Linked DNA regions of Notamacropus eugenii. The protein of the gene in region 2 binds, or shares a complex with, the protein of the main gene of each other region. Links are inferred from orthologs where the notes say so. Each region holds a gene or a part of one and is shown on either strand. Other genes may lie near its edges. The genes, in order: GABARAPL1 and STBD1.

The links.
Region 1: the proteins of STBD1 (region 2) and GABARAPL1 are in contact, whole or in part, in a crystal structure (PDB 8X8A), measured with the Homo sapiens proteins. The link is inferred for Notamacropus eugenii from reciprocal best matches to the Homo sapiens genes STBD1 and GABARAPL1. Residues at the interface, in NP_003934.1 of Homo sapiens: Glu201, Glu202, Trp203, Glu204, Met205, Val206, Pro207, Arg208, His209, Ser210, Gly213; in NP_113600.1 of Homo sapiens: Glu17, Ile21, Tyr25, Asp27, Arg28, Pro30, Val31, Ile32, Lys46, Lys48, Tyr49, Leu50, Val51, Pro52, Asp54, Leu55, Gly58, Gln59, Phe62, Leu63, Arg67, Phe104.

Annotation. Positions count from the first base shown.
Region 1 is NC_092874.1:200,017,635-200,029,982, forward strand, and holds the start of GABARAPL1 (gamma-aminobutyric acid receptor-associated protein-like 1), read right to left. Parts: upstream 5,684-12,348; 5' UTR 4,992-5,683; coding exon 4,902-4,991; intron 1-4,901. UniProt on the Homo sapiens protein: Ubiquitin-like modifier that increases cell-surface expression of kappa-type opioid receptor through facilitating anterograde intracellular trafficking of the receptor. Involved in formation of autophagosomal vacuoles.
Region 2 is NC_092878.1:150,996,013-151,008,842, forward strand, and holds the start of STBD1 (starch-binding domain-containing protein 1), read right to left. Parts: upstream 5,207-12,830; 5' UTR 5,032-5,206; coding exon 4,773-5,031; intron 1-4,772. UniProt on the Homo sapiens protein: Acts as a cargo receptor for glycogen. Delivers its cargo to an autophagic pathway called glycophagy, resulting in the transport of glycogen to lysosomes.

The DNA.
Region 1 (12,348 bases), on a different chromosome or scaffold from region 2:
CAGTTAAGGGAAAGAAATGGCAGGACAAATCACACTGAGATAACAGAGGGCAAGGAGGCAGGCTAGAGACCATAAAAATGGCTGGAGAATGAAGAAACCCAAAATCTGGTGTTGAAAAAGGCATGTGTTATCTATCCTTCATCCCCATAGTCTCATTCTATTCTCCTTGGATGGTTCTGAGGGAGAGGGAATTCAAGCTTTTGGTTGGCGTTCCAGGCTAAACACAGATGCCAGGAATTCTACTGGGGAGGCTGAGTGGAAAATAGACCCAGATAACATATAAAAGATCCTGTGGAATGGCTAATGTGATCATTTTTGCTGTTCAGTTGTTTTAGACTTTTCGTGACCCCACACAGGGCTTTCTTGGCAAGGATACCACAGTGGTTTGCCATCTTCCTTCTCCAAGCTTATTTTATAAATGAAGAACTAAGGCAAAGAGAGTTAAGTGATTTGTCCAGGGTCACATAGTATGAGTCTGAGACCAGATCTGAACTCAGAAAAATGAGTCTTCCTGACTCCAGGCCTAGTACTCTATCCACCGCACTACCTAACTGGCCCTTGTAGGAAAGAATGCTTTGTAAAGTGCTATATGAATGAGAATATACTAATATTTAGGTTCTAAGACTGGTATAAAGGGCTCATGCCACCATGACTTCCTGGACATGTTTGGTGGAGTGGATAGAGCACTGGGTCTGGTGTCAGGCAAAACTAGAGTTAAAATCAGGCCTCAGACTTTTGCTAGCTGTGTGACCTTGGGCAAGTAACTTAACCCATTCCTGTCTTAAGCTGCTTTGACTGTAAAATGAGGGTAATAATAACAACCTACCTCCAAGGGTTGTTGTGAGGATTAAATGAAATAATATTTGTAAAGCACTTAGCACAGTACCTGGTACATTATAGTAATATATATCACAGAACTATATCTCTTCTGGACAAAGCCCTGGGACTAGTGGCTCAGCTATTAAGTCACAGACATAACATCGAAAGATGAAGGTCTCCAAACTGAAGAAAGTATAGAGCCTAACAAATCAAGGGACTAACCAATTTTATTCTATTTTTACCAATGAGGAAAGTCTTCAGGGAGAATTTGCTCCAAATTACAGGACTAATAAGTGAGGCCACTTATTAACAGTAGAAAAATCAGACTTTAATCAGGACTTGGGGACTATGCGCTATAACTGTGACCATGAGCAAGTCACCTAATGCTCCTGGAGCCTCAGTTTCCTCATCAGTAAAATGAGGGGATTCATAAGTTTAAAGCTAGAAAGGCCCTTAGGTCACCCAGCCCAACCCTTTCTTTTGAGAGATAACAAACTATGAAGTCCAACACTGATTAGGTGAGTCCTGAAAACCTGAATGAGTACTCTATTATATCAGCTTAAGGCAGAGAGGGCAAAATGATTAATCAATCAATTTCAGGAGCATGTACTTAGGGCCTAGTAAGTGTGAAGGCATTGGGTTCAACATTGGGAATAGCAAAAGAAAAGTTAAAACAAGACACTGCCCCTCAGGGAGCTTACCTACTATTGGGGGGAGAGGGAGGGAGGGGGGAGGAAGGAGGAAGGGAGACCATGTGTGTGTATATATGTGTGTATACGTATGTGTGTGTGTGTGTGTGTGTGTGCATGCACGTGCGCACAAAAATAGATACAAGATGATGGCAAGGGGTTTAACACTGCTAACAGCTGGGGGGGACTGGAAAAGGCCTCATTTAAAATTTGGCCCTTATGCATGACCTTGGAGCCAAAGAGGTCTGGCAATGGGGACGACCAGTAAACAAAGCAGAAGGTAAATAAATGGAATTATGTGTAAGGAAGTAAGTCTGACTAGACTAGCATATCGGAAGGGGAGTACTGTATAATAATGCTGGAAAGGTCGATTTCGGCAAAGTTGTTATTTAAGATATATCAGGGGTGTGGTACCTGAGGCCCTGTAAGTCCTTGGATGCGTCCTTTTGACATAGTCCAAGTTTTACAGAACAGATCCTTTTATTTAGGGGATCTGTTTTGTGAAGTTTGGATTCAGTCAAAGCACAACATTTGAGGACCTAGAAAGCCACATGTGACCTGGAGGCCACAGGTTCCCCATCCATGGATATGATTCTGGAGTTATAATAGGAACCACCAGAGTGACTGAAATGACATGATCCAAACTTTAAAAAAAAATCACTTGGATTCCAGTGTGAAGTGAAGAGAAACTAGAGGTAGGAAGACCAATTTCAAGGCTATTCAAATCCAGGCAAGAGCTGATACTGTTACGAACTAGGATGGAGAGATGGCAGATGAAAAAGGTATTGTAGAAGGCCAATAAGCATGAAAGATAATGACAGAATGGATAGGGGGGTGAGGGAAAGGGGAAGATTCAAGGTTATGAACCTGGGTTGACTAAAAAGATGGGTAGTTGGATAGCAACTGTACTGGGCTTAGAGTTAGGAAGACTCACCCTTTCTGAGTTCAAATCAGGCCTAAGACACCAATAGTTAGTTGTGTGACCCCAGGCAAGTTACTTTAACCCTGTTTGACTCAGTTTCCTCCAAGAAGGAAATGGCAAACCAATTCAGTATTTCTGCCCAGAAAATCCCAAATGGGGTCAGGGAAAGAGTCAGATGAGATTGAACAACAATAAAATAGCTGAAAAGATGGCGTCCTTTAGATTGGGAGAAATTTGGAAGGAACAGGGGTGGGTTTGGAAGACAAAGGAAGACATTTTGGACATATTTAGTTTGAAATATCAAAGAGACAGTACAGTTTGTGATGGAGAACTGGAGATCAAGAGAGATTCAGACTTTATGAGATCTGGGAGTCACCATGTGTTCAGTCATTTTTTCAATCATGTACGACTCTTTGTGACTCCATTTGGAGTTTTCTTGGCAAAGATACTGGAGCAGTATGCCATTTCCTTCTTCAGTTCACTGTACAGAGGAGAAAACTGAGGCAAACAGGGCTAAATGACTTGCCTGAGGCCACTGAGGTCATCAATAAATCAAGACTTCCTTTGATACAGGCTAAAGGAAAGTCTAGTCAAACTGCTATTTCTCCCACAAGAAACTATGTCTCCTAAATCCATGTCATTGCATTGGTTGTCCCTCATGCCTGGAATGCACTCCCATCTCACCTGGTCAGTCTTATAAAATGTTCCTTCAAAATTCTGCTGAATTTCCACCTTCAATAGGAAGCATTTCCTGATTTCCACAACTGGTAGTGTCATTCCCCCCACTGATTTTATTTTGTATACTTATTTATGTTGTCTCCCTTGATGGCAAAGGTTATATCACTTGCCTTTGTATCCCCAGTAGCATAAGAGAATGTATAGAGAAGTTAAAGAGCATGGTGTAGAAGTTAGGAGACATGCAGGAGGGGATAAGTGGAGAGTGGATAAGGCAGGAGAATCAATAATAAAACAAAAGCCAAAAATAGTGTCACAAAATTCCAGAAAGGGATGGACAGTCAATGTCACATGCTTCAAAGAAGTCAAGAAGAGAACTTGTTTACTCAGTCATCTTTTCCCTCTAACCAAATACTAACCAGTGAGTCCTGCAGGAGATGTGGGAGGTGACTGGAAAGGGGACCTCCTTAGTCTCCTTTGAGAGGGTGACTGACATTCTATAACTGGATCCAGATGTGGCAAGATGGCCTACCTTGTTTCCAAACCTACCTCAACTAGTCTGCTTGGAGAAACGTCAGTCTTAAGAAGGTCTCAGCTGTTACATTAGGAACTCAAAAGCTATAAAAATAAATGCCTCATATCCCCATTATCTTTACTTCCAGATCTCCATCCTGGATTAACTGACTTCTAAATTTTGCAGCAGTAATGTCAATCAATAAGGCCTCAATTATTCTGCAGGGAGCAGGGCCTGGGTAAAGCACTAAAACATTTTTCATTGATTCTTTTTGTTTCCTCTCCATACCTCTAGTTTTTGCACCCATACCTCCCAAACTCTATGGTCTATGCTCCCTCTACCCCACCCTACCTCCATATGAACCTGTTTTTCCCCAAATCCAAACAGTCCCACTTTCACAGAGGCGCAGCATGTTCCCTCACAGAGAAAGGGGTGGGGGTGGCGCAGCAGGGTGTTAGGGACAGAAAATATGATAAATTAGAGCTGAAAGAAGAACTCTCCCCACCCCCAACTCCTGCATTTTCTGTGACAAGTCAGTCTGGTCAAAGGCAAAACAGTCACCAGAAAAAAGCTGTTCTCCCCCTAACATGCGTTAATTCTAAAGCCAAGGATGATGAAGCAAACTGGTTGCTGCGCAGATATTATGCCCCTGTTTGCCAAGCCGGTTCGGTCTTGTGTTTTTTTAAGAGAGGAAGGAGCCCATGTCTCTCTTCCCCCGCCCAATTAATTCCAAGGACAAAAGGTCTAGAAGCCCGAAGATGGAACCAGAGCTGAATAAACCCTTGAAAGGACATAAACAAACAGGGCGAAGCCGCAGAGCCATCGCCATGGTGGCCACCCTGATCAACAGCTTTCTCTTGGCGTTCTTCCATGCAGTCAAGAAAAGACCCCATCCTACCCATTCTCACACAAGAGCGCCGCATCTTGAACACAAGCACCACCTACACAAACGCACCTGGCGCACTCCTGAGTCACTGGGCTTCATCTCCGAACACGCACGTATCAAGGCAGTGATGGTGCATTGCCCCCATTCCTCAGACTCACAACAACACACATTCTCTGCTGATGCTCAGTTTAGAAGCCCCCTATGCCTCTGCTACTAACGGTGGGGTGCGGGATGTCATCAGTAGGGATATCCAGTTTACATTATTAGGGAATTGGAGACGAAATGTCTTCCAAGGACCCTTCCTGCTCCTCAGGTCAGAGAGCTGTCGCGTCCCCATCCCCTCCCCCTCCTTCTTCCTTTCCTCCCACCCTTTCTCCAGGCCCCCAAACCACTCACAGGGACTCTGTCAGGGTATTTCTTCCGAATCTTCTCCCCTTCTTTTTTCCGGTACTCGAAAGGATGATCCTCCTTGTATTGGAATTTCATGATGCTCCGCAGCGTCTCCGATCTCCCCTGGGGGGCCTGGCTTAAGCGGAGTGGATGGTTTCGCCGAGTCTGTCTTTTCCCGGTCGAAGTACAATACGAAGAGCCTTAGCGGTGCCAACCTCTGCTGCCCTGCCCGCTCTGCTCCACCAGTCCGCGGAGAGCGCTCAGAACTGAGGCCCCGGCTGGCCCGGGCTGGGAGGTGGAGAAAGAGCCGGCGTGGGGGTGGGGAAATCCTGCAGCGTTCTTGGAAGAGCCGGGAACACACAGGCAACACAGTAGCAAGCCTGGTATTGTGACGTCACAAAGCTCCGCCCTTCCCTCCCTCACAATGTTCTAGACCCGTCCCGGTGCTGACTCCGAACCGGGGGCCAACGAAAATGTTGTTCAAATGAGCCCACGATATTAACTTTCCTTTTTAAAAAAATCCTTCACCAAATCTTTTTAATCAAAACCTCGTATGGTCTAAAACGCTATTTGTTTCTTTCGTTACGGAATGTCTTAAGGCAAGGTACCAAAGATGCGTACTTCTCCCCCTCCACTTCGTCGTGGGGTTTTTTTGGTTGAATCCAGGAGCAGTTACCAGAGATTAAAGTCCAGCCTTTCTAAGCACATTGGGGTGGCTGGCTGTGGTTGGGGGTGTGAAGTAAGGGGTGGAGGGGTGAGGAGGTGGGAGTGGAAGACCTGCTACGTGTGGGGCAGATACAGAAATCTTTAAGTGTTCTCTCGGCCTTTCTTCTGAGGGTCCTCTCAGTTTACCCAGGGATTCTGCCTGCGCACTTCTATGTATTGTTTTTGTTTGTTAGCTGCAAATTACTAGACTGAGGAACCACATAAACAAGGTGACTAAGGGCTTTAGAAGGATAGAGAATGAGGAAAAATGCAATCCTGGCTTAGAGAGGCTAAGGTGCTGGAGTAGAATTTCCCTTTTAGTGGACTCTTCCAAACCTCGTTTCCAGCCCTTTCCCCACCCTCCTCTTAGAATCACTAGTGTTGCAAGGCCTCACTGCTGAAAGAAAGAAAAACAGAAATCATGTGATGAGGATGAACTGGGCCTTACCCACTACTGTCTGCCAAGAGACTTGTCAGCAGCCACCGGCCCGAATTGGGGAGAGGAGGTAACCAGGGGGATAAACGCAGCATCACAAAATTCCATAGCATTAGACTAATAAAAGATTTGATTTAAATAGCTTTAGGTTAAAATGTTCCTTTGCATGGTTCCCTTGACAACAATCTAGGAGGCAGATGGTGCAGTTATTATTATTTTTATGGTACTGATGAGGAAACTGAGACCAAGAAGAATTAATTGACTTGGCCAAGGTCAAATGGCGTTTAGTAGGCCTCTAATTCAAACTGGGTTTTTCTGCCTTCAGATTCAGTGGTGCTTGGGGACCGAGGACTTGCTTTAGCTGACCTATGAAGAAACTTTCTGAAAAGCCAATCACTCCTAAAATTGTAAATCACTGGAAACTGAGTTGAAATGTCCCTTTGATGTAGTTCACCATGTATCTCAGAAAGAATTCCTCCCACAAATCCAATTAAGTGGTTATCCTGCCTCTCTGCCTAAGGACCTCCAGTGATAGGGAACTGATTGCATCTGTGGAAGCATATTAAAAACCTCTTTTTTTTAGTTCAGCTGAAAATATTAAAAAATAATATTTTCCAGCCAAAACCCTTCTCAAACTTTTCCTTTTAGGGGAAGCCTACAAATTAAGGCCTTAGTAAATGGATTAGATGTGGTAACCAATTTAGGACAACAAAAAAATTGACTTGGCCAGTTTAAGATCACTGGTGTTCCCATTTTGAAAGGATTAGGATTTTGATTAAAGGGTGTTTCCTTTTATTTACTCCTGGAGAACTCTTGAGGGGTCAAGGAAGGAAATGGGTTGTTATTAAGTGACTATTGTTCTATTTGATACAGTAGGATGCTAAACCAAAATTGTATTTTAATATTTTTGTGTCCTTTTCCTTAATCAAGACTCCTGTTACCTCAAGTTGTCTGATGACAGATTTCCAAAGGAATGGGGTTTGGGGAGCTTACTTATTTGGTCATTTCTTTCTCTAACGCATAGACTGGATTTAGAATAATGTTAAATGAATAAAATTTGTTTTCTGAAAGACTTGAGGCTAAAACAAAATTATAGTCATTAATATTTTTCTTCAACTCATTCCAAAGCAACCCCTTCCACTTTGTGATCTCTGTTAGAAAGTCTTTCTGTACATTAAGGCTAAGTTTACCGCATTACAACTCCTACCCATTCCCTGTAGTTCTGCCCCAAAGGGCAAATCAAATCATCTACCATGTGACAGATCTTCAGATACCTAAAGACAGCTATGATGTTTGCCAAGCATCCTTATCTCCATGTTAGCCATTACAGGTTCACTCAGCAGATTGGCATGTATCGAGCTTTTAACTCACTTTGCGAGAAAACGGGCCATCATGCCACTTTCTGGCCATTTCCAAACTATACCTCTGCATCTAACCTCATCCCTCTTTCTACCTTCCCATTATATTTTTCTCACCTGAAAATATTAAGAAATAATACTTTTCCATCCTGAAACATTCCTCAAACTTAAGCGCTTTGAGGGTAGGACTAAGGTACTTCATTATATTTATGTTCTTAAATATCTAGAACAATATTTGACATATGCAAAGTTTATTAAATCCTTTTTCACTCATTTAATTCATCACATGAATGTTAAGCTCTTCACAGTCCTGGTTACCATTCTCTGAAACTCTCAGCTTTTTATAATACCTCCCCAAGTGCGGCACCCCAAAATGAACACAATGATGTAGTTGTGATCTGATCGTGGCAGAGTAGAACATGTTCATCATTTTATTTATGGATATTGTATATTTCTAAATACAGTCAGAAATACATTAGCATTTGTAGAAGCATAAAAGCCTTATTGTCAGTTTCACCAACTGTATTAAGAAAAAATATTTCTCTTGTCTTAAAAAAACGTTCTAAGCTTCTCCCTATTCAAAAGTAATTGATTAAGAATGAAAACCAAACTTTTAATTGAGGTTACCTATGAGCTTCCCAACCCTCAGAAGCAATTGGGCTGTAATTCACCTAAGGGTAGTGCCCCTATTATCCATTTAAAAGAATTATGATATGGATCTGGGGAGGAGGTCATGGGATAGGACTATACATACTTGAGGGGAGTGGTCAAAGAAAGATGTAAGTGGTTATCAATTGACTATGTTCCATCTGTTGAAATAGAATATTAACCCAAAATTTATTTTCTTTGTTCAAAATTCCTATAAAAGTTTCCTTAAATTCTTCTGGGAAGTGAGACTTGTTTAAGGACGTGGGGGAACTATGCCAATTTGAATATTTCTCTCTTCAATTTAGAAATGACTTGTATACTGTTAGTATTTAATGTTAAATAAAATTATTCCTGACATACTATATATGCAGAAAATATAGAGATATGAAGAAATATATATGTATATATAGAGATAAATAGAATATTTGAATATATATAAAAATATATATGGAAATGAGAGGGTAGAGCCAAGATGGTAGAAAAAAGGCAGAGACCTGCCTGACCTCTCCCAAATTCCCATTCAAACAACTGTAAAATAATGTCTCAGAATGAATTCTGAATGGCAGAACCCACAAAGATAGAGTGAAACAATTTTCTAGCCCAAGATAACCTAAAAGGTCAGCAGGAAAGGTCTGGTATACTGGAATGAGAGTGGAGATCAGTCCAACAAAGGCAGAACCCCTCAGCAAGAAGCAACAGACCTGGGGGCAATGGACTTGGCTTCTGGAGCTCTCAGCCCACCGATGGTAAGGAGGTCAGAAGGAGATTACAGAGATCCCTTTGTTAGCATTGGGTAAAGGACTCTGTTGCATTGCCCAAAGGTGGGTTACTGAAAGCCATGATCAAAAAAAGAGCCTAGACATCATCTTTCAAGAAATTATCAAACTGCCCTAATATCCTAGAATCAAAGGGTAAAATAGAATCACCTCCTGAGAGGTGAAATGAAATGAAATTGAAAACTCCCAGAAATATCATAGCAAAATTCTAGAACTCTCAGGTCAAGGAGAAAATATTACAAGCACTCAGAAAGAAACCATTCAAATATTGTGGAGCCATAATCAGGCTAACAGAAGATTACATTACATTAGAGAACTTGGAATGTGATATTCTGGAGGGCTAAGCAGCTAGAATTAGAGCCAAGATTAAACTATGAGCAACATGGAGTTATAATCCTTCAGGAGGAAAAATGAGTATTCAATGAAATAGAGGATAAAAAGACTAGAGCTGAATAGAAATTTTGACTTTTAAATACAAGACTCAAGAGAAACATAAAAAGGTAAACGCAAAAGAGAAATCATAAGGGATTCAATAAGATTAAACTGTTTATAGTCTTACATGGGCAGATGATACTTGTAACTCGTAAGAACTTTATCATTTTGGGGGCAATTAGAAGGAATGTACATAAAGGCCATGGGCATGAATTTAGATGAGATGATGTCTAAAAACATAAAATAAAAAGATAATAAAAAGAATGCACTGGGAGGAGGAAGGGAGAGGTAGAATGGGGGGATATTCCCTCAAAAAAAGAAGTAAGAAGGAGCTTTTATAGTGGAGAGGAAGATAGGGGAAATGGGGAGGAATGCTTTAACCTTACTTTCATTGGAATTGGCTGAAAGAGGGAATAACATACACATTCAGCTGGGTATAAAAATCTATTGTACCTTACAGGAAAGTAGGAGGGAAAGGGAATAAGAGAAGGGGGTGAGGTACTGCTGATAGAAGGGAGAGCAGATTGGGGGAGGCAGTAGTCTTGAAGCAAAACACTTTCAAGGATGAGCAGAGTGAAAGGAGAGAAAGAGTATGGTAAATGGGGGTGGGGGAGGCAAATACACAGTAATTATAACTGAAAATTTTTTACAGTTGTCTCTGATGAAGGTCTCATTTCTCAAATGTATAGAGAAGTGAAGCAAATTTGTAAGAATACAAGTCATTCCCCAACTGATAAATGGTCAAAGGATATGAATAGGCAGTTTTCAGAGGCTGTAATCAAAGCTATCTATAGTCATATGAAAAAAATTCTCTAAATCTGTATTGATTACAGAAATGCAAATTGAAATAACTCTGGGGTGCTCCACACCTATCAAAAAAGGAAAACAACATGTTGGAATGGATATGGGAAAATTGAGACACTAATGCATTGTTGGTAGAATTGAGAACTGATTTAACCATTCTGGAGAACAATTTGGGGCTATGCCCAAAAGGCTATAAAATCCTTTGATCCAGCAATACCACTACTAGGTCTGCATCCCAAAGAGATGAAGAACAAAAAGGAAAAGGATTTAAATGCAAAAAAAAATCATATCAGCTCTTTTTATGGAGCAACAAATTGGAAATTAAGGGGATGCTCATCAGTTGGAGAATGGCAGAACAAGTTGTGGTATATGATTGTGAAATACTATTGTGCTATAAAAGATGATAAGCAGGATGTTTTCAGAAAAACCTGGAAAGATTTACATGAACTGATGCAAAATGAAATGAGCAGAACCAGGAAAAAATTGTACACAGTAACAGCAATATTATGATGCTCAACTATGAATGACAACTATTCTTAGCAATACTGATCCAAGGCAATTCTGAAGGACTTGTAATGAAAAATGCTGTCCATCTCTGGAGAAAGAACTGATGGATGCAGATTGAAAATACTTTTTTTACTTTACTTTTTTTGTTTTTGTTTGTATTTTCCCTTACAACATGACTGTTACATAAATGTGTTTAGTGTGATAGCACATGTACAACCTATATCAAATTACTTGCCTTCTGAAGTAGGGAGGAAGAGAAAGAAGGAGGGAGAGAATTTGAAACTCAGATTTTTAAAAGATGAATGTTAAAAATTGTTTTTACATATAACTGGAAAAAATATGAAATATGAAAAAAATAAAATACATAGTACAGTATTAATATTTTTCTTTGATACTTTTTTCTATCATATCATGTTTTTGATCCATATTGCGTTAAATGAACTCTCAGTTTGGAAACTGAAGAAATAATTGTAAAGTCTGATAGGTTAAAAAAACAACAGAAACTAGAGAAGTTATAGCTATATAGCACAGTGCCTTTATCGTCTTGAACAAAGACTACATTTTCTCTTTAATGAATTTCAAATGATCAATGTAACTCTTGACTTCTGGGCTTTCAACCAGAGGGCATTGATTTAGAGACTATCAATACAGAAGACAGACTAACAGTGCAGGCCTACCACAGGCTGGGTCCCTGGTTGTTGCTCATCCTTTGACTTCGAAGAGGACCAATGAAATCATGGGTGATGTCTTGACTTGGATGTGAGCTGTATAATCGAGGCAGAGTTGCACTGAGTCATCAGCCTCACTCTCCCCAAATTATCAAAGTCCAGGGTGAGGGGACCCTTCTTCATTCATCTTGATCTATATCTTGCCATCGGACCCAGATGGTTCCAGAAGAGAAGGTGAGGTTGGTGAACTTGCATAGCCCTTCCTCATTTAAATCCAATTCTTTTGCAAGTCATGGCATCATCTTCCTGATGTCATGGTCCTCTTCAAGAATGATGGACAAACAACAATCAAAGTACAGTGGAAGGACAAAGGTCAAGATGACTGGCAACAGTCCAGGATGCACTAGATGACCTTTGTGTCTTTAATGCCTGACCAAACTCTAAGAGCTCCATATCACCCTTTAGCTGCTGTCATGGCCATTGGAACATATAGTTCTCATCCACTCTTTCTGCCAGGAAAAGTCTCCACATGTTTGGGGTAGACATTTCTCTAACTCACCAACAAGTCTGAGGCCTGTTGGTTACCCTCAACATGGTTTAGCCCATCTGCCCCGTTGGTTTACCAGGGTATGGCTGCTGTACATGCTACAGTTTCTTAGAGTCACAGGTGAGAGTTGGGTGAAGGTGGACCTCAAAGGTGGCTGAGCAGCCCTGCATATGACTTGGCAGCCATCACACCTGGGGTTCTAGTCCTCTCTGAACACCCAAAGGTCCTTAGTAGTTTAGATATGAAGTCAGAGTGAAACTGGATACTCACAATCCATGTTTACAAAATGTTTACTCAGCCTTGCGGGGAGGAAGGGAATGACTCAACTGAACAAAGTTTCCTAATATTGTTCATCATGCTGATCTATTGTCCTCAACCTCAGGGAAAGAGACTTTAGACCCTTGAGTCCTGGCTATTTTGTACCTAGGTGACCAGGAAGTTACATCAGTGGCCTAAGCCTTAGTCTTCTGAGTCAATCAAATCTCAAGAACAGTTTATATATAAACAATTAAGAAACTTTGTTGCTCTTTCCCTCCCAGCTTGATTTACTTATATTTTTTTCTTTTGCTCAT
Region 2 (12,830 bases):
TGCATAACTGGTTGGGTCCAATCTTTCTACCTCAGGTAAATCTGAGGAGAGAGAAAGAAAGGGAAAAAGCATGATTCCAACAAAATTAAAGTTTCCTAAAATATTAGGGTGACTTTCTTTTAAATTTTCAAAATTTTTCATCATTCATTTATTTTTTAAAAAACATTTAACAAAATATTGAGTTCCAGATTCTCTCCCTACCTCATCCACTGAGGAGACAAGTAGTATGATTTAGGGTGAAGTGCTAATTCAATTCATGACTAGCCTTTGGAAGCAGCTAAGTGCTAGGTATAACACCAGGTCCTGGAGATACACAACTAAAAATAAATTGATCCTTGTTCTCAAGGAGCATATATGGGGGGAGGGGAAGAAAGGAAGCAGTTATAATATGTCTATATATAGTATACATATAAGATATATATATATTTATGTACCTATATATGTATATGAAAATAGAAGAGGAAAGACACACTACCAGCTCAGAGAATCAATGAAGATCTCACAGAGAGGAAGCATCTGCACAATGAAGGAAAACAAGAGTTCTGAGTCAGAGATGGGAGGAGGGAGAACTCTAGGCTGGGGAGGCAGCCTGTGTAAATGAAAGGGGGCAGGAAGTGGAATATTGAATTCAGGGAATAGCAAATGGGCTAGTTTGGATGGGATATAGAGTTTGTAAGAGAGTAGTATAAAAATTAATTTAGAAATGGATCTGGAAACAGAGTGTGGAGTTAGCCCTCCACTTAAGACAAGCTAAAAAAGCATAGATTTTATGCTGTAGTCACTGGGGAGCAACTGAAGAGTTTTGAGTGACACCCTCAGATTGTGATTTACAATGGATCTTTTGGCAGAATGTGGACTGGAAGAGAGGCCAGAGGAGGCTGGCCCATAAGGGGGTTGTTGCAATAGTCCAGGAAAGAATTGATGGAGGTCAAAACCAGAGTGTTGGGTAGACATAAGAGCATCCTACAAGAAAAATTGGGGGGAGGAGTAGGGGGGATAGAATTGACAAAACTTGACAACTGATTGGCTTTGGGAGATTGAGAAGGTAAGGTAGGGAGAGAGAGAACAAAGGCAGGGGCTCTATGCTGAAGCCAGCTCTAACCACTGGGCTTGAGAGCTGATGGTTTTGTTTTCATTGTGAGCATTCACACATTAGAAATCAACAACCCCACAAGTCAGGGTTTGATCGTCTAGGCTTGAGAAAGTGCTAACAATGCAAATTAAATTTAGAAGTGTGTGCATATACATCCCCTTCCCTGCCCCCAACACCCAGCCTAGCTATTAAACATTTACTTTACACCTTTGTATTTGCTCTATAAACAGTTGCTTCAGCTCATGAGGAGCACTGTAGAAAACAGCAAAATGAGCTCATCATCAGATTGGAGACCAGTAATAGTATTATTAATATTAACATAGCACTTTAAGGGTTGCAAAGTGCTTTATGCTTATCATCTATTTGAACCTCTTAATACCTTTGAATAAAGGGGTCCATTTTAGATAAGGAATTATCTAGCAGGAAGTTGACTTATGCATATTGGAGCTCAAGAAAGAGATTAGGGCTGGAAGTGCATATTTGAGATTTCTTGTTTAGTCATTTTTAGTCCTATGTGACTGTGTCCTCATTTGAGATTTTCTTGGAATAATTTGCCATTTCCTTTCCCAGTTCATTTTATGAATGAGGAAACTGAGACAAAAAGGGTTCAGTGACTTGCTCAGGGTCACACAGCTAGTAAGTGTCTGAGGCCAGATTTAATGTCAGGTCTTCCTGATTCTAGGCTCAGTGCTCTGTGCACTGCACCACCTAGCTGTCCATGTATTTGGGATACATCTGCATAAAAATACCTGAACCTAGGGAATGGGTGAATGATGAAATTTCTAAGAGTACATATAGAGAAGAGAAAAGGGTCCAGGGCAGAGCCCTGGGCAATGACCAAGGTAAGAGGGCAAGAGATGAAAATAGAGTGAACAAGACAGAGAGAAGGAGCAGCAGAGGGAAGAACTAGGAGAGAGCAGTATTTTGGAAAGAAAGAGGAATGTGTCCAGAAGGATGGAGTAGTCAACAGTGGCAAAAGCTACAGAGAAGTCAATGATGAGGACTGAGAAAAGGTTATCAGATTTAGAAATCAAGAGATCATGACTAACTCTGGGGGCAATTTCAGTAGAATGGCTTACAAAGCCAGCTTGTAAAAGGAATTGACAAGGCAGTCGAAGGTAAAGAAACAGGGATATAAATTGTAGATGATTTGCTGAAGGATTTGGAAGTCAATGGCTAGAAAGACACAGAATCCTAGTTAGAGGATCTGGGATGGCATAAACCTGAGCATGTTTATGGGAAGTTTTCCTACTCTTTTTTGGGGGCTAAAGGCCAAGGTAATGGATGGAGTTGGCTTTCAAGTTCTATCTCTGACACACACTGACTGTGTGACTCAGGGCATGTCTAACCTCTCTATGCCCTAGGCAATTTTCCAGGACTATAAATTGCAGAGCAGTAGTGTATCGGTATTGGACAGAAGGAGTTTGCCTATACCAATGAAACCAAAGGTTCTGATGAAAAAATATCCACATAGGAACAGAAGAATTTAAAGTAACAGTGTAGAAAACCCTATAATTAAAATCAATCAAGCACATTCTGCAGATGAGCATCCCCTGTGGGACCCTGTCCCCAGTACCCTGCTTTCAGAATACAAAGGTATATTTGACCATAAAAATGGAATCCAAGAATAGTTCATCCACCAGTAGAGACGGCATCACTCACAAAATTTGCAACGGACAGAGGCTTAGACTTTATTTGATCTAAACCCCTCAGATCAAGATAGTGCCACCCAGAAAATGGAAGTGACATGTCCCTGGACACCAGATTTGTAGGTAAAACCTAGGTGTTCAAACCTAGGTGTCCTAACTGCAATCTCATTTCTCCCTGTCCACACTCCCATATCCCTTCTCTGACCTTCCCATCAAACAACCAGTTTCCAGACTGGGCTGTCTAGAGCAGTGATCGTTCACAACCTTTTTGGTCTCAGAATCCCTTTATAGTCTTAAAAATTATCAAAGACTCCTTTACATGCTTAAAAGTATTGGGGACCCAAAAAACTTTTCATTTTTGTGGGTTATAACTAGTGATCAATAGATTTACTGCATTAGGAATTAAAACTGATGATACATGTTTAAAATACTTATTAATTTAAAAAATAATAATAATAAATTCATTACATAAATGGCATCTTATAATATAAAATAGCATCTTATGTTAACATAAATAACATCTTTTAATGAAAAATAACTATTTTCTGCCATCCACATCCAGAGAAAGAACTGTGGAAACTGAATGCAGAATGAAGCAGACTCTTTTCTCTTGTGTTATGTTTTGTTTTGGTTTTTCTCATGGTTTCTCCCATTCATTTTGATTCTTTTATGCAATATGACTAATGTGAAAATGTGTTTAACAAGAATGTATGTGTAGAACCCATATAAGATTGCAAGTCATCTCAGGGAGGAAGGGGAGAGGGAGTGGGAGAAAATTGAAGACTTATGGAAGTAACTGTTGAAAACTGAAAACAAATTAATTTTTTTAAAAAAGACTCCATTTAAAAAAGGAAAAAAAAAGAAAAATATTTTCCTAAAAAATCAGTGAGGAAAAAATGGCAGTTTTACATATTCTTGCAAAAGTCTGGCTTAATAGAATGCAACTGGATTCTCATCTCTGTCTCTGCATGAATGTTCTATTTTGGTTGAATTTTATGAAGAAAATCCCAGGTCACGCATATACAGTTGTATAAAGGAATATTATTTTAATAACGTCTTAGTATTATTATTAAAATAGTTTTGACAACTAGGATTCCCTGAAAGAGTTTCGGACTGGGGTCGCGAGAACAAATGTTTGTTGAAATAAATAAGAAGTCTCTCTGAGCTAACTGCCACATGGCCAGGGGCGGGGGTGGGGAGGGGGAGTGTCTGCAGAACTCTAGAGGGGGACTGTCCAAGACTTTCCCGGGACGACCAAGCTCTTCTTTGCCACTCGCCTCCGTCCCAGATTTAGCTTGGATGGTTTTGCACCGCCTCCCTCCCCAAGTAGTCAAACCCAGAGAAGAGATAGCTTGGCTAGGGGTCCCAAACCCAATTCCCAGCCGCAAGGGATGGGGCGGGACCGTCCTTCGGGGTTTCTGGGTTCTTCTGCCCAGTTTGGGTAAGGGTGTGGGGTGCAGTGGTGACTGGGAAAAGAAAGCACGTGAAGCAGGTTCTGCTCAGCCTGAGCTCGGCCTCTCAGGGCCCAGGGTCCAGAAAGAGGGGAGGCATCCCACCACCACCCCACCTCTAATCAAGTAGCACCGGGAAAGGGGTGGCGGACCCTGATGAGCAAGGGGGAAAGTAGACTGTAAGATCTTAGATCCACCGTAGTCCCAGTCTCCAGCTATAGATGAAGAAACCCAGGCCTCCGGGCCTGAAGTCACTTGCCCAAAGTCGCAGAGGTAATAAGCGGCTGAGCCAATATTTGATTTCAGACCCTCTGCCTCTTCCCATTGGACCCCACTGCCTGTCAAGAATGGGAAGGTTGGGGCTTTTGGGCTTTTGACCTTTAGATCCCCGTCGATACACAAACCAGGCTGGCCCAGACGCAAGGTACCCAGGGAAAAATAGGGACTGAGTGCGGCAGGCAAAGTTAGGGGTGTGTCCACACCGCGCACCCCTCTTCCCACCCATCTCCGGCTTCCTTTGGGCTCCCTAAAGATTTGTCAACACCCAAATAAGCGGTGCGGGCAAGGGTACCCACGTACCTTCGGCTGTTTTCTTCACGTTCCAGTCGCCCCTCTGCTCCCGGAGTTGGGCCACCTGCTCATGTTTAGAGCAAAGGGGGTCCCCGCCATCTCCACCTCCGTCCCCCCTCGGGGCTACTGCGACTGCCTCCCCTGGCGACAACTCTCGCCCCTCCCCGGTCCCCGCATCCTGGTTCCCGGGATCTCCCCGCAGCAGCCAAACGAAGAGCGCACCGGCCAGACCTCCTCCCACCAGCAGCGCAGATATGACAGCGCCCATAGCTCCACACTAACGGCCCCGCTGGCTAAGCGCTGAGGGGGATGCCCTGAGCCCGGACGCCCGCGGGGACCGGGGACCCTGACGGGAGCGAGAGCGGGGCGGATCTTGCTCGCAGAGCGTCCCCACCCCAGCCTGCCTTTTATCTCAGCCCTGGTCCTTCCCTCCTGACTCCCCGCCCTAGCAGAAGCTCAACTTTCCCCTGTCCCGCCCCGCCCCATTGTCACCTCTCCAGGCCTCAGTCTCAGAAGCTGGCCACTGGAGGGAGAGGAGGACGGGGTGCAGGGGAGGGAGCAAGGAGGGGAGAAGGAATGAGGATGGGGAGGAGGAGTATCTGCCACTGCAGCCAAGTCTGACATTATCCTCCCCCACGTTCTCCTCCTACTGCCGTCCCTGACTCTTCCTCTGCACTTTACAAGGTCAAGTCAAGTTTTAAGAACCTTACTCCTCCCTACCTTCCCCTTTCCCAAATCGTTCCCCACTGCTCTTGCTTGGACTGGCTCCTCAGTCTTAGGTCCTAGTTCTAGCTCGCTGGACAGCACCCCAGCAAGAGCTGATCATGGGGCTGAAATCCAGGGTGCCTGTCTGCCTCTATGAAAGCCAATGTTCAGGGGTGATCTAGCATCTGTAGAAACCCAGTGACAAGAGCACTCCTTTGAAAGGAAATGAAGAGAAAATGAGCCCCAACTACCCTGCTTAGCACTTAACCTCTCTGAAACTCAGTTTCCTCATTTGTGAAAGGAAGGACTCAGAGTTTGGAAGCTGAATTATAGTAGGTGCATAGGGTTCTCCCTGATGTGTTTGTCATTTGGGGGAAGAGGATTAGCTCCAAATTATCGTGTCTATATCGTGTTTGCACATAGTTGGCTGCATGTTCTCTCCCTTATTACATTGTAAGCAGACTGTCTTTTACCTTTCTTTTTATGGCCAGGGTTTGGCAAACTGCCCAATACATAATAGGTGCTTCATAAATGCTTGTTGACTCTAATGGGAACATTTGAATGCTGGTGCCTTCCATCAGTTGGCTTTCTCCAGTTTATCCTGCATATTACTTTTACATGGCTATTTGTACGTTGTCTCCTCCTTTCAGCTGTAAGCTTCTGGATAACAGGTACTGGGTTTTGCCTTTTTTGTATCTTCACCTCTTAGCACAATGCCTGGCATACAGTAAGCTCTTAATGCTTCTTGATTTGTTGAGAAGGGAAATTCCCAGAAAAAAATCGACATGCCTCCTCCCGACAGAATGTAGTTCTTGAGGAGGAATCAAAGCATCATCTATTTAAGGGTGAAAAGGTACAGTTTCTTTTAAATTAGCAGCCCCTCCCCCTATTCACTGCCAACCGTAACTAGGATAGGGTGAATGTGCTTTGCACCAGTGCCCTGAAATTCAGTGGGAATTATTAGCCCTTACACTCTTTCAGTGTGGAAACGACTGAACTTAGTTGTGTTAAATAACTTAATTAAACAAAATAAAAGCTACGAGATGGCTTGCTTCTTTTTCTCTTTTGCCCCACTTGCATCTCAATTTCCTTTTATTATCCATCCCCGAGCACTGGACTCTTGAAATCCCAGGGGATTTGCCTACAGGGCCAGTTTCCTACTATGGGAAGGAGGCTATCTCTATCTCCCTCCCCCAAAGGAATACCTTTTAAAATGATTTGAGGGCATAATTTCCAATATCTCTGATGCTGGCAGGGATAATGAATCTCAAAAAGCGATGGATTTGGAGATGGATTAGGAGTTGGGTTCAAATCCTACCTGTACTTCTAAGTGACTTTGTTCAGTCCTTTTCACTGTCTGGACCTCAATTTCTTCATCTGTCAGAAGAGGGGATTGAACTAGATGGCCCTTTCCACCTCATACATGTTCCTACACTGCAATCCCCCCAGAGGAATATAAGCTCCTTGAGGGCAGGGATTGTTTTGTTATTGTTCTTTTATTATTCCTACTCTCTAAGACAGTGCTCAGCAAGTTCTGACAAATGGTTTAAATAGAATGAACTGAATTATGGTGGCAGGTTTTGTGGTACATGTAAGGGCAAGCAAAGTAGGATCTTTTGCTGTTTTTGTTTTAGTATAATCAAGAAGTATAATGCCTTTGATTGAATCTTGCCTTTATCAACCAAGAGTCCCAGGAGAAAAATACAGAAACAAGAGTTTCTGTGTACACACACAGAGAGATAGATATGTGTGTGTATGTATGTTTGTGTGTGCATGTGTGTGTAGATATATGTGTACATATATATATTTGTATTGTTAATGTGATTAAATATCTTTCCCACCCATTAATGGACCTGCCCATTAAGGAGGTTTTGATTAGGGGAGTTTTGTAGGAAGGCCCACGCTTTTTGTTAAAGAGGCACTGATGGTCAAGGATTGGGATGCCCTCTGACTCTAAAAAAGGTATAAATACTCTGAGGGTGAGATTTTACTTTGGGGTTTAGTTTTTGGAAGAAGGTTTGTATGCCAGATGAGACTCTGGGAAACCATTAAGCAGCCATCTCCTGCCACCCCCCTTTTGAAAACCCAGATGTTGGTGCTTCCCTCTCTGGTAACTATGGTCAGACAGTTGGACCTGTCTGTTGATTTGTGATATATGGATTGCTTACGTCAAACAGTTTTGAAGTGCTGTCTGTTGATTTCCTGAACTAAGTGAATGATGTATGTGTTTGATTAAAGGAGATTGTTAACCTCTCAAAAGTTGCCTTTCCTTTTATAAATGCAGATTTAAGAACCTGTGATAGCAGGCCCCCTGTGTATGTTGGGGAGCTTATTGATACAGTACATTATTCTCTGAGAAGATAAATATTTTCCTCTTGTGCTTTTAGTAAGTACACTTAACAGATGTCAATGGCACTAAGTCATCTACATTGGTAAATCTACAGCTTATTTCCTTCTTATAATCCACTAAATCCTATGTTTATGGGAAAGGAATTTCACAGATAGGTGTTCTATCCTCTCTTTCTCCTTCCCAGGAGTCCATTTAAGTTAAAATGCAAGACCACCAACACCTAGATCCCCTGGTTTCCCTGGTAAAGACTCTGTAAAGTTTAACAAGAAGGGTTAGCTTAAAATGCTAAAAAAGAAAAAAGAAAGAAAGAAAAAAGAAAAGAAAAGAAAAAGAAAAAAGGTAAAATATTGAAGAACCCCATGTCTATCATGGTCTAAATCTGATTATGCAACAACTCATTTCCTCTTCAATATACAAGAACTTTGTTTAGAAAAACACCTGAGAACTGATTTTGGCAAAGGTGCAGTGGGATACAGTGAGATTGCTCTGAGTTTGGAGCCTGATGATCTGGATTTGAATCCTGTCTGTAATACCTATTCCCTGAGTAACTCTGGGCAAGTCACATAACCTCTGTAGGTTTCAGTTTCCTTAGCTATAAAATGAGGGGGTTGTATCACATGGCTTCTAAGGTTGATGATCCCAATGCATGAACTATGAAGACAGTCACGGTGTTCCCCACCATTGAATCATAGATTCATAGATGGAGAGCCAGAAGGAGACTTAGAGGTCATTGAGTGTAATCATCACCGTGCTAGAGCCAACTCATGTTAACTTGGGAGAGCCAGTTGTTAAGTTTCCATCATGAGCATTACCCTTTGGAATCAGCAAACATTATAACTCAAGTCTTTCTTCTTTTGTTTGCTTGTTTTGTTGATTGTATAGACTTAAGAAAGTACAGGAGAAAATGTTCATGATGTTGGTCAGACTTAGGAGTGTGTGGTCCTACACTGTTGTTTTTTTTTACTGGAGTGTTAGTCATTAAATATTTACTAGCACACCCAAGTCCAACCCTGTCATTTTACAGCTGAGGAAACTGGGGCTGGCAGACTGGGTGACTTGCCAAACCTCAAGCAGGTGGGATTTGAATACAGATGCTTTGAGTCCAGCACTCTTCATCTTAAATCCCAAGAGGATATTGAAAAGCTGAATGAAATATCAGTAAAATGTTTAAAGAGAAAATGTCAAATGAATATTGAACATCTGTAGATGATCCTTCGTTTTAAAGGGAATATAACTTCATAGGGCAGCTAGATGGAACAGCGGATAGAGCACAGGGCCTAGAATCAGGAAAGTTGAGTTCAAATCTGGCCTTAGACACTTAGACACTTACTAGTTGTGTGACCCTGGGCAAGTCACTTGACCCTCTTTGCCTCAGTTTCCTCATCTGTCAAATGAGCTGGAAAAGGAAATGGCAAACCACTCCAGTATCTCTGACAAGAAAACCCCAAAGAGGTCATGAAGAATTGGACACAATGAAAACAACTGAATAGCAAGAATGCCAAATAACTTCAGTGAGCAAAACTGCAAGTGACAACATGTCCGCAATCTCCCTATAAAGTTTATGAGCTGTCAAAGTGCACAACATACAGTGATAGCAGTAGGGTTTTTACAGCAATGATTTCATTCTAGATTTAGAAGGGATCTGGGCTTAACCTGTCTAGTTCAACCCTCTCATCTTATAGATAAAGACAATGGGTTCCAAAGGGACCAAAGCTGGGATTTGAACCCAGGTTCCCTCACCCCCAAAACAAACACTTTTGCTCTCTCTCAGTGGGAACTTTTCTATTAGTCTTAAATATTATCAATAAGTGCTGATGATTTCATCACGCTGTGCTGAGGACTCTGCATTTGTGGAGTATGGGACAGAATATTTCTATAGATCCCCTTCCATTCTGACCTGCTAAGGTAAATGCTGTCTTTGGGACTCCATTGCAATTTCCCCTGACAACCATACATACACCCAAGCAATTGGCCAAGCTGCAGTCTCAAAGCTTAAGGGACAGAGCTGGTAACGATTAAATACTACTTTACATTCCCTTAATGATATCAATAGCTGACCCTTAGAGAGCTTTAAAGTCTGCAACACATTTAGGACATATCTTATTTAAGCCTCACAATGACCCAGGAAATAATTTTGCTGGGATTATTGTACCCATTTCACAGCTGAGGAAATCTGAGGCTGTGTGAGGTGACATGACTTGTCCAGGGTCACTTGCCTAGGAAGTGTTCCAGTTGAAACGTGAACCCAGGTCTTCCTGATTGCCAGCCTAGCTTTCTCACTACTTTGCCTTTCAATGAAAATCAATTACGAGGGCAAGTGGGAAATATAAGCCCCAAACAAGGATGATGGGTAGCAGAGGGTACAATGAGACAAAAATAGAAACATGCCACCATGGCAAATGTATATTTGGATGATAATGTGACTTTCCTGTTTCAGAAGATTCTACCCAATATGAAAATATCTGTTTTATTTTCAAGGAAAAACAAAAAGGTTCTACTGCTCTATTTTGTGCCATCAAAGATGGACTCAAGACCTGTGTAGATTTCTGTTAAACTATCCTTTTGGTTCTGTCAAAAAATATTTTTAAGTATATTTCTTGGGGAAATTTTCCCATAGCAAGCTCCAGTGGCTTGAGTTGTCTGGAGTATTAGGTTACACACAACCAGGCTCACTCGGAATTCCGATACTGATTAATTACCATGGCTAGGTCAGTTGTGTAGGAAATGACACCAGTCATTAAGAGGGTCAAAAATTAATAGGTCTGCTGTGTTTTGGGCTGTACCATTTTGCAAGATTTCACAAAAGGCTTGATTAATTAGTTAAATTTTTTATGTTGCCAAGTAAAAACTTAGAAGGAAAGAATGATAGATGCTCTAATCAATAAATTTAATTGATGCTTTTAAAAACAAAGGAGGAAAGAAAAAGAACAAAGGGCAAAATAATATTAAGGGTTTTGAATTTCAAAGAAAATGACAAATACTGGAGGGGAGGTGGAAATATTGGGATACTGATGCATTGTTGGTGGAGTTGTGAATTGATACAACTATTCTGGAGAGTAATTTGGAATCATGTCCAAAGGGCTATGAAACTATACATACCCTTTGACCCAGCAATACCACCACTAGTTCTGTATCCCAAAGAGATTAAAAAAAGGAAAAGGACCTCTATGTACAAAAATATTATAACAGCTCTTTTTGTGGTGCAAAGAATTGGAAATTGAGGGCATGTTCATCAACTGAGGAATGACTGAACCAAGTTGTGGTATATGAATTTGATGGAATACTATAAGAAATGATAAGCAGGGTGATTTCTCAAATGGCAAACCACTCCAGTATCTTTACCAAGAAAACTCCATGAACAGCTGTGGTCTATTGGGTCATAAAGAGTCAGACACAACTGAACGACTAAACAGCAAATAGGTTTCACCAGACTGCCAAGGGGATTCATGGTACAAAAATGGTTAAGAACCTACGGCATAAAGAATAAGTTGGGTTTGCCTAGGTTAAATATGATCATTGCCTCTTCCCTTTTCCCTTAGGCATGCCATTGTGTTAGTCCTTCGTTGCCAAAGAAGACCATGCCATCAGAGAAATCAGGACGTGACTTGCACTTGACTTTGTTTTGAGTGAGGGAGGGCTGTGCAGGTCACCAGCCTCACTTCTCCTCCAGTCATCTGAATCCAGAGACCTGATATTCCTCAGGATGACTGGAGATGACCCAGGATGCACTGGGAGACCTTGGGCCCTTTAGGCCAAGGTGTTTGCAGATACTCACTTAGGGTGAGGCAACACCCATTCATTGAATAGGCCTGTTTAAGAAGTAGCCAGGGCATGGCCCCTTTAATGAGGTCGAGAAAAAGAAAGATATCAGGTTGGGTGGGAAAGAGCAACAATTATTATTGATAATCACTCTCAAGCTAGAGGGGTCCAGAGAAGCCCTCAGGCAGGGCCTCAATGGAGTCCCAGTTTCAGAGTGCAGTAGGTTTAAGGTTTTGGGAGAGGACAGGACAAGGGATGGGACAGGGGACAGGACAGGAGAAAGGAAAGGAGGGGAGGGGAGGGGAGGAGAGGGAAGGGTAATAGGAAAGGAGCCAGTAAAACCCAAGTCAACAGGGCATCTTTTGGCCATCCAAGTTTACCTTCCTTTGGAGAGGAGAAGGAAGGGGAGGGGGAGGCAGACAGGAGAGGAGGTGAGTTACCCAGCTGCATTCAGCCAGCTGCACCTACTCATGGGATTGTGTTTGTCCTTCGTTGCTGAAGAAGACCATGCCATCAGAGAAATGATGACATGACTTGCATTTGACTTTGTCTGCCTCCTTCACATACTGGTTGTGTGACCCTGGGACAGTCACTTAGCTTCTCACTGCCTCAAGAAATTATCTATGGCAGGGATTCAGTCTGATAGACCCCTTCTCAGAATAATATTCTTAAATGCATAAAATAAAATACATAGAATTACAAAGAAGACCAATTATTTTGAAATATTGTTATCAAAATATTTTTGAAACTTGTGATATAGTAATATATGTATTTTATTAACACATTAAATTATAAAGTAATGCATTTAAAATGCAGACAAGTGTGAAGACCACTCAAAAGAGAGACAGAGAGACAGAGACAGAGAGACAGAGAGGGAAAGGGAGAGGGAGAGGGAGAGAGAGAGAAAGAGAGAGAGAGAGAGAGAGAGAGAGAGAGAGAGAGTGAGAGAGAGAGAGAGAGAGAGAGAGAGAGAGAGAGAGGGAGAATATTTAGTGGGTATGGGTGTGAGTTGCTTATCCTTAGTAAGAACTTAAACTGTGGGGTGTTCTTTGACACCAGGTAACAGGCATGCCATGCTGAATGTTCAATCAGTTTTCAAATGTAATGTGATATGAAACTATCTCTGATTTCTATTGGCAATAGTCATAGGCAGTGGTAAACAGCAATTGTTTGTGTTCTGGCCAGAAACTCTGAGGGTCTTCCCTTCCCTGAATGATTCTTTTGTGAAGCCAAATTAGGCCATCTTTTACCTT